Neurospora crassa OR74A: one gene and its partner. Each later gene encodes a partner of the first gene's protein in a complex. Links are inferred from orthologs where the notes say so. Each region holds a gene or a part of one and is shown on either strand. Other genes may lie near its edges.

Region 1 (4,417 bases):
TACCAGAAAAAAGACTGATGAGTGGATGCAGAAAGTGTGAGGAGTAAGAAACAAAAAAAAGCGAGGAAAACGTGAGAGAGGAGGAAGGAAAAAAAGAGCCAAAAAGGAATGAAAAATAGAGAAGACTCTCCTCGCGCTGTTGGCAATGGGTGCAAAAGAAAAACAATATGCGCCAGCCGCGAATCGAACGCGGGGCCCATCGATGGCAACGATGGATTTTACCACTAAACCACTGGCGCCTCAATTGTAGATGACATATTGATACAGAAACTATGTTCATGAGCCACAATGCGACATGAGCAGTATCTTCAGCACTGTTAGACTAGGATATCTTTTCCATTACTCAACCCCTTTCGTCTTATTTGATGCCCAGTTCATGTCTATTTTCCATCAAAGCAGCAAAAGTCAACGCCAATGCGTCCATTGTATGTTCTCAATGTGTTTCGCCGAGGTCGGTCCAGAATGAAAGTTTCGCCGCAGATGAAGCTCCAAACCCTGTGTTGCCTTTTGTTGAAGGACCTGATCCCTCAGCTCCGTGCCTTGTGATCAGAGTTGATGGTGACATTATTAAGCCATGCGTATCCTCAGTCCACGTCCATCGAATCCTATTCGGGAGGTGGAGGCGGTGGCGGGCGTTGTTCGTTCAGCCTGACAGCAGCAAAACGCTTAGCAAGTGGTTCATCCGTCGAGTTGTGATTCCTTTGCATCAATGGGTGGTGGCTGAGGTAGGATCTGTCAACCGAGGGAAAACTAGCATCCTCAGTTCTGGGGCGCTTGGGAAGTCTCTCACCAGTGGATTCCAAGATCATGTGCAGGGTCCTCCACCCCTCTGTCGCCCGGAGTTGGAAGGCGTCGGCAAGGTCATGTTGTGTTGCTACGCGGCAAAGGAGTGCCTCCTCATCCTACGAGAAAGAGTCAGTATTCTGTCGGACCCAAGTGGAAATACGGTGAGCTGACCTTGGACAGCACGCTCATCTGCCGGATAAAGCAGAGCAAGTGGAAGTTGCTAACGTCGAATTGGTCGGACTTTTGGTTCACCTTAAGAATCTTTGCTACTGATGAGGCTTCCTGGGCTTCTCCGACAAATTCGCGATTGGCGATAGGGAAGCCGTCATTCGTGAATACCGGCCGGGGACTTTCAGGGAAACCATGGGTCAAGGTGACGAAGAGATACTCGACGGGAAATGCGGGCTTTGCATTCTCTTGGACATTTGCTCCGTACTCGTTGATCTTGCGATAGAACACCTCGGGGATGTATCGCGTCCTGCTGACTGAGCCATCGTCCTCCTCCTCTTCGCGCACCAACATTTGACCGGGGTCCGTGGAAGGTTCGATGATGTCTGCCCTGACCATCTCGACCGCATCGTTCGACATCTGATAGGCCGAGATCGAAATCTCGCCCTGCTCATTGCCAGAGATGACGCAAGTGACAAAGTTGGAGCCGAACCGGCCTGTATCGCTCCACTTGGTAGGCTTTGGGTGCTGTGCCTGGAGCCTCGCCGCAAAGCAGATCTCCTGAGCCGCGAGGAAGTAGGAATCGCTGTGTCTCTTGCAGATGGCACTTCCGTCACCCTTGCCAGCGTCCAGGAGATCCGTCCAGATCACACCCACAGGCTCCAGTCCGCATAGTCTTGCTACTTCGTTGACATCCTTCTCGTTTTCCCACGCGTTGAGAGTAACACCGTCGATCTCGTCAACCTGCGGTGGTTCGTAGATGGCTTCCACGACAGCCTTGACGCCAAGCGGAACAACATCGTATTCGAGATATTTGCCGTAGAGGATACCAAGCCGTTGACATCCCGTCATACGCCAGGGATTGAGGAACTTGTCGATGATCTGGGGCGTCGCGAACTCGACGTGGTCCACCATTCTGAATGGCTGGGGCTGGAGAGTGATGGCGCTGGGCTGGCATTTTGTGCAGATACCTTCGGGCCATTGAGGATGGCCGGATGGACAGTCCCGCTTGACTCTGTAATAGGGTTCGACAAGCGGGGGGATAAACGAAGCCCCAAGCTCGGGCTTGTTTGTCGCAGAGTTGATTTTGCGGAGGTATGCGTGTACTGACATGTACTTGATTTTCTTTTCCTCGAGATACTTTGCGTTAAACGGATCAAGGGGCATGCAGTAATCGCACATACCCTTGGGCCCGTGGCGACACATCTTATGATCGCGCCCCCTTGGGATCTTTCCGTCACGCTTGTCTAGCCGATCGTCCAGAGGCGACTGCCTCACCGTTTCCCACGGGTTCTTGATATGTTCATGCGGAGATGTCAGCGGAGGCGGGTCGATGGGCAAGTCTTCTGCAGGTAGGATCGGTTTGCCGTTGAGGCGGTTCGTGGATGAAAGCACGCTGGATTTGGTGGCTTCGCCGTTGCCTGGGCCGTCGGTCGCCGCATCGTTGTGCTTGTAGGTGACAAAAATAAGATCGCCATGGCTATTTTCAGGTCGCTAGTTAGTGTCTGGCACATAAATCGCAAGATCAGCGCGAGAGTTCCAAGGGGTCAGCTTGCCTGAGCCCAGTCTGGCCGACCTTGAACTTTGCGACCTCGCTGAGATTCTTGGCGTCGCTGCCGGTCGGATGGTTCGAGAATGTAATTGTTTTCGGGTCAACAGTCGGGGGAAGCTTGGGAATGAGTTGACGGCCAAGATCCGCAAAGGTGTCATCTTTCTCCAATGTCAGGCGGAGCATGCCATCGGGACCGCGTACCCTCAACAACATCGTGGGCGGGCTGAAAAAAAGGTGACGTCTGGGCTGTTAAAGGGTCCGACGGATCTGGTCTGTTCCTGTCGTTCGGCGAGTATAATCCGGAATCTGAATTTAAAATGTGTCGTAGGCGTCGGAAGTAGGGCGGTATCTATGAATAAAGCTTCTTGTTGCGCAAAATCTACAAGGTCACGCCAGGTCCTCGGACTCGGGGTAAAGGCACAACTGGTGACGGGATACGGGTGGTGAATTGTTGGTCGGCAGACGGGACCTGATCGAAGGGCGGGGAGCTCCACGCAACGCTGTACGATAGTTTCAGGCGTTCGTCATACGTGTGCCTGGGCGGCGGGAGTGCTGGGGCGTGCTGGGAAGTGCTGAGCAATCGAGGCATGCCTGCTGGGTTTCCAGAAGAGCCAAGAAACTCCCGGTCCCACGTCAGAGAGAGAGCCCAATGCCGGCCCGGCAATGCCCCGCACCCCTCAAAGACTTGGGAGTGACAGAAAGGGGCTGTCGCGGCAGGCATCGATTTCCACTTGCGGCATGGGCCCCTGCCACTCAGATGAAGCCAGCGCGCGCCAAGGGCCGAAATTCCATTGTCAAGCTCCCCCTGCCGCGCTGCACCGTTGCAGTTGTCAAGGTGTTCTTTCCAGGCATGGGCACTGCATTTGATAACCAAGGGAAGCACGATTACATTGCCGTCGGTGTCCATCACTCACACAACCGCAAAAGGCAAACGCATCCATCACCGGGCAACCTTCAGTTGCACGACGACAATCCTCACGCCACCTACCGCCTCTTGGTTCACTCTAGTCGCTCGCTTTCTTCCAGAGTAGAGAATACAGACATCATTTCTCGTCCGTCAATTTGACACACACTCCATCCCGAAACATGTTCAGCGTCGACTGGCGGGGGCTTGTGCTCCCCTTCGCCTATCTGATTGTCCTGACGGGCACCTTCATGACCTTTTCCACAATCTACCGCAAGAGGAAAGCCCGTATGCAACCCCCTACTCAGAAATTTCTATGCTTCTCTGGATAGAAGCCTAACCATGTTGATTCTTCCAGAGCAAAGCGCAAACCTCGCACCATGGTTCGGTCCTCACCTCCAACGCAACGTCTACCTGTCACTCCTCCACATGGAGCCCGAGAACGGATCCGAAAAGGCACCTAAAGTTCCTGAAAGTGTGCTCCGGGCGGCTCTGCTGCGCCGCGCTGTCGAAGACATCCACCGTATTATCCAGATCCGCGCCGCCAAGGCCGCCTGCAGCTCTCTTTTGCAGCGTGGAAGCATCGGCGATGATCTGTGGCAAAGGTTCCAGCGTGCCGAGAAGGAAATGGAGGAAGAGCTTCGTGATGTTGTTATGGAGGTGTGTGTTCCTTTGAAGAGGGTTACCCGTGCGGATGATTGGATGCCAGAAATGCTAATGCCCGATTCTTCAGGCCAACGCACTCGCTCCCAACTGGGGACAGAGCATCTTCCAAACCGCCAACGAGATTGCTGCCAACACTGTGCTGCGCGAGCGCCTTGACGAGATCCAGGCTCAGGCAACACAAGAAAAGGAGTGGTGGGAGAAGCGCAGGGCCACCGTTAGAAGCGAGTTCATGAAGGAACTGGAAGGGGATGAGGCTGGTACTGGTACCCCTGTGGACACCAGCTCAGTCACCTCATCGCCGTCGAACAAGAAGGGCAAGAACTAGAGGTCACGTCCTAGCG
Region 2 (3,681 bases), on another chromosome or scaffold:
TTTGCGGATGTAGTTGCCCGCCTCGTCAAAGGCACCCTCTTCATTCTCGGCTTGCATGTTGAAGGCGTCAATCTTGGGCGCATGTTTCTTCAGTCCGCCTAGGCCGACCTCTTCGTCTACTCCCTCTTCGGCGATGGCGGCTGCTATGGCTTCTTCGTCGTCGTCGTCTTCGTCTTCGTCGTCCGATTCGGCTGAGGCGGCGGGGTTGATGTTGATGGTTCCGCCAGCTTTGGAAGAGAGGTCTTGCCCTTCGATTTCCGAGTCGGCGAGGAAGTGGACGGATTTTTTGTCCTTCGCAGAGCCACCACCGGCTGTCGTTGGTTGAGCACCGTCGTCGTCTTCCAAATCGCCAAACATGTCTACCTCGTCATCTTCATCGGCATCTTTCCCTGCCCCGTTGGAAGGCTTGTTGTAATTATCCATCATCTCGGCCAGATCCACGTCCTCGGCGTCTTTGCCCTTCTTGCGGCTCTTCCCTCGGGCTTCCGCGCGGTCTTCCAGGTTGTCATTGTCGGAATCGGAATCGTACCCATCGATGTTGACCGCGCCGCGCTTGGTGGCTCGGGAAAGCCCACCGATCACGTCGGCGGCAAGAACCTCCTCGTCAGCTTCGTCGAGGTCGTCATCGTGCGCTGAGGGCGCGAGCGCGGAGGGGTTGCGCACGTCGAACTTGACTTTTTTGTGGGACGGCCCGCTGGAGGTGTCGTCGTCGTCGTTGGAGCGCGATTCGCCGTGGTGGGCGCGGGCGTAAGCTTCGCTGGCGCGTTTGGGGCGCGCGGCGGAGAAGCGGGAGGACATGGTGGTGGCTGTTGTCTTCAATCTCGTGTGTTGGTGTGTAGGCGTTGACGTCAGCGTGTAAAGGTTATGTCGTCTTGATAGAATGGCCTATTCTGCCCCTGTATCGCAGACTTTGTGTAGATATGGCCTGAAATGATGACTGTTTTGCCTGGGTCGACGGCGAATGACAACTCTACAAGTAGAGGATGGTGTTTAAGAGAGGATCTAGATGGCGAATTGGGAATATCAAGGAAGAACATCACTAGAGGTACCTTACCCGTTGTCAGCCCCAACGGATAACATGGAGCTCTCCACTGCCATCAAGGTCCAGAGCGTTCTGCAGTGGACAGGCAGCGCTCAAGGTACCTTTGACCTAAGCGTTTAAGAAGGGGGGGAGCTCGCGCCACGGCAGCACGGTTTCACAGATCTGACGCCACGGCGGCACCTTCTCACCCCGCCAATCCGGGCCGCCGAGGCGGCAGATACATAGAGGTAGGTACTGTACGGTACCCATGCCAGGGCTCCAATTATTACCTAACGTGCCTGTAACTTTCGGGCCCAGTTATGTCATCTGCGTTGTTGCCTTTGGAACCTTCCACGCGGTCAGGTTATTTCAACATCGTCGCAACCTCCCTTTCACTATCGCTTGTCACGCTCTGCTGTTCCGGATCCCACTACCTATTCTGCGAAGCTTACCTCGAGATCTCCCCTCTTAATACAAATTCCCTGTCGTTTCCCTTTCTGCAAAATACTTTACTCCATCTCTAGCAGCTCCCTCGCGATCATGGTAAGCTATCCTTGTCCTCACGCTCGATTATCAAGACAGCTTTTCGACCCCTCTATCTCTTGAAACATTCTAACATGTGCCCATGACAGTATGGAGACATCTACAGTCGCGCCACTGGTCGCTCTCGGGGCGCGCAACGCTTCGATGAGTACTACCGCTGCTACCCCCTTGTCATGGCGCCCGGTGCCGAACGACCTGAACTCAACTACGGCTCCAAGATTCTGCTCCCGCCCTCCGCTCTCGACAAGGTTTCGCGACTACACGTCCAATGGCCCATCATGCTAGAGCTTATCAACGGCTCGCAGGGCACCCACACACACGCCGGTGTTCTGGAGTTCGTGGCTGAGGAGGGCAGGGCCTACATCCCGCAGTGGATGATGCAGACCCTCAAGCTCGACGTGGGCGACATGATTCAGATCAAGACGACATCTCTCGAGCTTGCCAGGCTTGTCAAGCTCCAACCGCAATCGGTCAACTTCCTCGACATCAGCGACCCTCGTGCCGTCCTCGAAAAGGCCTTCCGGAACTTTGCGGCGCTGACCAAGGGCGACGTTTTCAACTTTGAGTACAACGATGAGATCTACGAAATGGCGGTACTGGACGTCAAGCCGGAGACGGCCAAGATGGGTGTCTGCATGATCGAGACAGACGTCAGCGTCGATTTTGCGCCGCCAGTTGGCTACGTCGAGCCTTCGCGACAGACACAAGGCAGTGGTACCAGCACACCACGCAACGGAAGGGCTGTTGGCGGAGGACTTCCGGCGGGTGGTCTTTTGCACAACCAGGGAACCATGGCGCAGGCTATCAACTACGATGCCATCGCACCAGGAGCCACCACCACGTCGGTGGGCAACTTTCAAGGTGAGGGTCTGCGGTTGGCGGCGAAGAAGGGTAGCAAGACGGGAACACCGAAGCCGGCGACGCCGGTGGCGGGTACGTCGACCAACGTTAAGGACGTGGTGCTGCCCAGGAGGAAAAACAACAACGGCCCGTTGCCGTTGCGTCTGCCGCCCAACAAGCTCTTCTTGGGCTACGAGATCAAGCCTGTCAAAACTGCCGCAGATAAGGAGAGGGAGGCGGCGGCGGCGAAGCAGCCGCACTTTGCGGGCCAGGGACAGACGCTCCGGGGAGGAGTCCCGAAGAAGAAGAGCAGCGATGGTGACGACAAGGCGGCGCAAGGCGAGAAGAAGCCGACAGAGAGCAAGGGAAGGCGACTTGACGGCAGGAATGTCTAGGGACAAACTTTCGTTCAACAAGCTTGTTACTAGATGGTTTGATGCATTGTCGGGCGTTAATGGGAAACAGGGTCATGGGAAAGGGAGGTTCACAGTCAAGGGATCACGGAACGTTTGTAGCGTCATTACGAATACACATGGACAGGCCACGATGCGTTTCAAGATAGAAAAGGGCTGTATATGGGATGTTGAGTGCTGAACCGCACGATGTTTACATAGGCCCATGCAGCTGACTAGAATTAGTGAAAAAGGAAATGATACCTCGATGTCCTCCTATAGCTGGAACATGCCAAGGTGATGTTCAACAAGGTCCGCTGGCTCAATGGCAGAGCGTCTGACTACGAATCAGGAGGTTCCAGGTTCGACCCCTGGGTGGATCGAGTTATCTTTTCTTTTGCCAGCATAGTATGCTGCGGCGTCACCAATTTATTTAAAAAAAAAAAAAAAAATTTTAAATTTTTTTTTTCTTTTTGTTCTCTTTTTGATCCCTTGAAATGCCGGAATTTGACTTTGGTGCAAGATGGACATGATACAAAGAGTCCCTGGTTTTTTTTCTTTTTTTTCCTCATTGTGGACGGTGCATCGAGAGCGGCTTGGTCCGTCTTGTCTTTATCTTGAGCAGTCGCTTTGTCAGTGTCATGCCAGGAAGGTCCGGAGTTCTGCCTGCATCCACTTCGAGGTCTCTCCTTCCAGAATTTTGCATCCTTAAAGATTAGTCATATGTCAACGATGCTTGGAACGAATATAGTCGACAACATCAACAGCATGACATTGAGTTCTGATGTTAGTTTAGTACCAGCGGTTTTTTGGCTTTTCCCAGTTGCACTTCCAAGAACTCGGTCGGTCGCATCATTTGAGATAAGTCCTTGATTAGCTAATGTG

The links.
Region 2: the proteins of NCU02680 (region 1) and NCU06856 are in contact, whole or in part, in a cryo-EM structure (PDB 8DAR), measured with the Saccharomyces cerevisiae proteins. The link is inferred for Neurospora crassa OR74A from reciprocal best matches to the Saccharomyces cerevisiae genes NPL4 and UFD1. Residues at the interface, in NP_009729.1 of Saccharomyces cerevisiae: Gln258, Glu292, Gln293, Asp294, Gly295, Leu296, Thr297, Met298, Phe326, Thr327, Asp328, Ser330, Phe340, Cys341, Lys342, Arg343, His344, Asp346, Ser351, Leu353, Glu354, Met357, Arg360, Ser415, Gly416, Ser417, Thr418, Phe419, Pro420, Tyr424; in NP_011562.1 of Saccharomyces cerevisiae: Val232, Leu233, Gly236, Ser237, Met238, Ser239, Arg241, Tyr244, Ile247, Ala248, Phe285, Asp286, Gly287, Glu288, Pro289, Ala290, Lys291, Leu292, Asp293, Leu294, Glu296, Gly297, Gln298, Leu299, Phe300, Phe301, Gly302, Phe303, Met305, Val306.

The regions. Positions count from the first base shown.
Region 1 is NC_026501.1:3,179,285-3,183,701, forward strand, and holds NCU02680 (nuclear protein localization protein 4), read right to left. Parts: upstream 3,064-4,417; 5' UTR 2,720-3,063; coding exon 2,511-2,719; intron 2,435-2,510; coding exon 958-2,434; intron 903-957; coding exon 791-902; intron 721-790; coding exon 707-720; 3' UTR 649-706; coding exon of another isoform or gene 644-648; 3' UTR 141-643; downstream 1-140. Other genes in the region: NCU02681 (translocation protein), read left to right, coding at 3,593-3,698, 3,769-4,070, 4,144-4,401. UniProt on the Saccharomyces cerevisiae protein: Substrate-recruiting cofactor of the CDC48-NPL4-UFD1 segregase. Assists CDC48 in the dislocation of misfolded, polyubiquitinated ERAD substrates that are subsequently delivered to the proteasome for degradation.
Region 2 is NC_026502.1:1,742,215-1,745,895, reverse strand, and holds NCU06856 (ubiquitin fusion degradation protein), read left to right. Parts: upstream 1-1,343; 5' UTR 1,344-1,561; coding exon 1,562-1,564; intron 1,565-1,653; coding exon 1,654-2,799; 3' UTR 2,800-3,082; downstream 3,083-3,681. Other genes in the region: NCU06855 (hypothetical protein), read right to left, coding at 1-798. UniProt on the Saccharomyces cerevisiae protein: Functions at a post-ubiquitation step in the ubiquitin fusion degradation (UFD) pathway. Has a role in the endoplasmic reticulum-associated degradation (ERAD) pathway.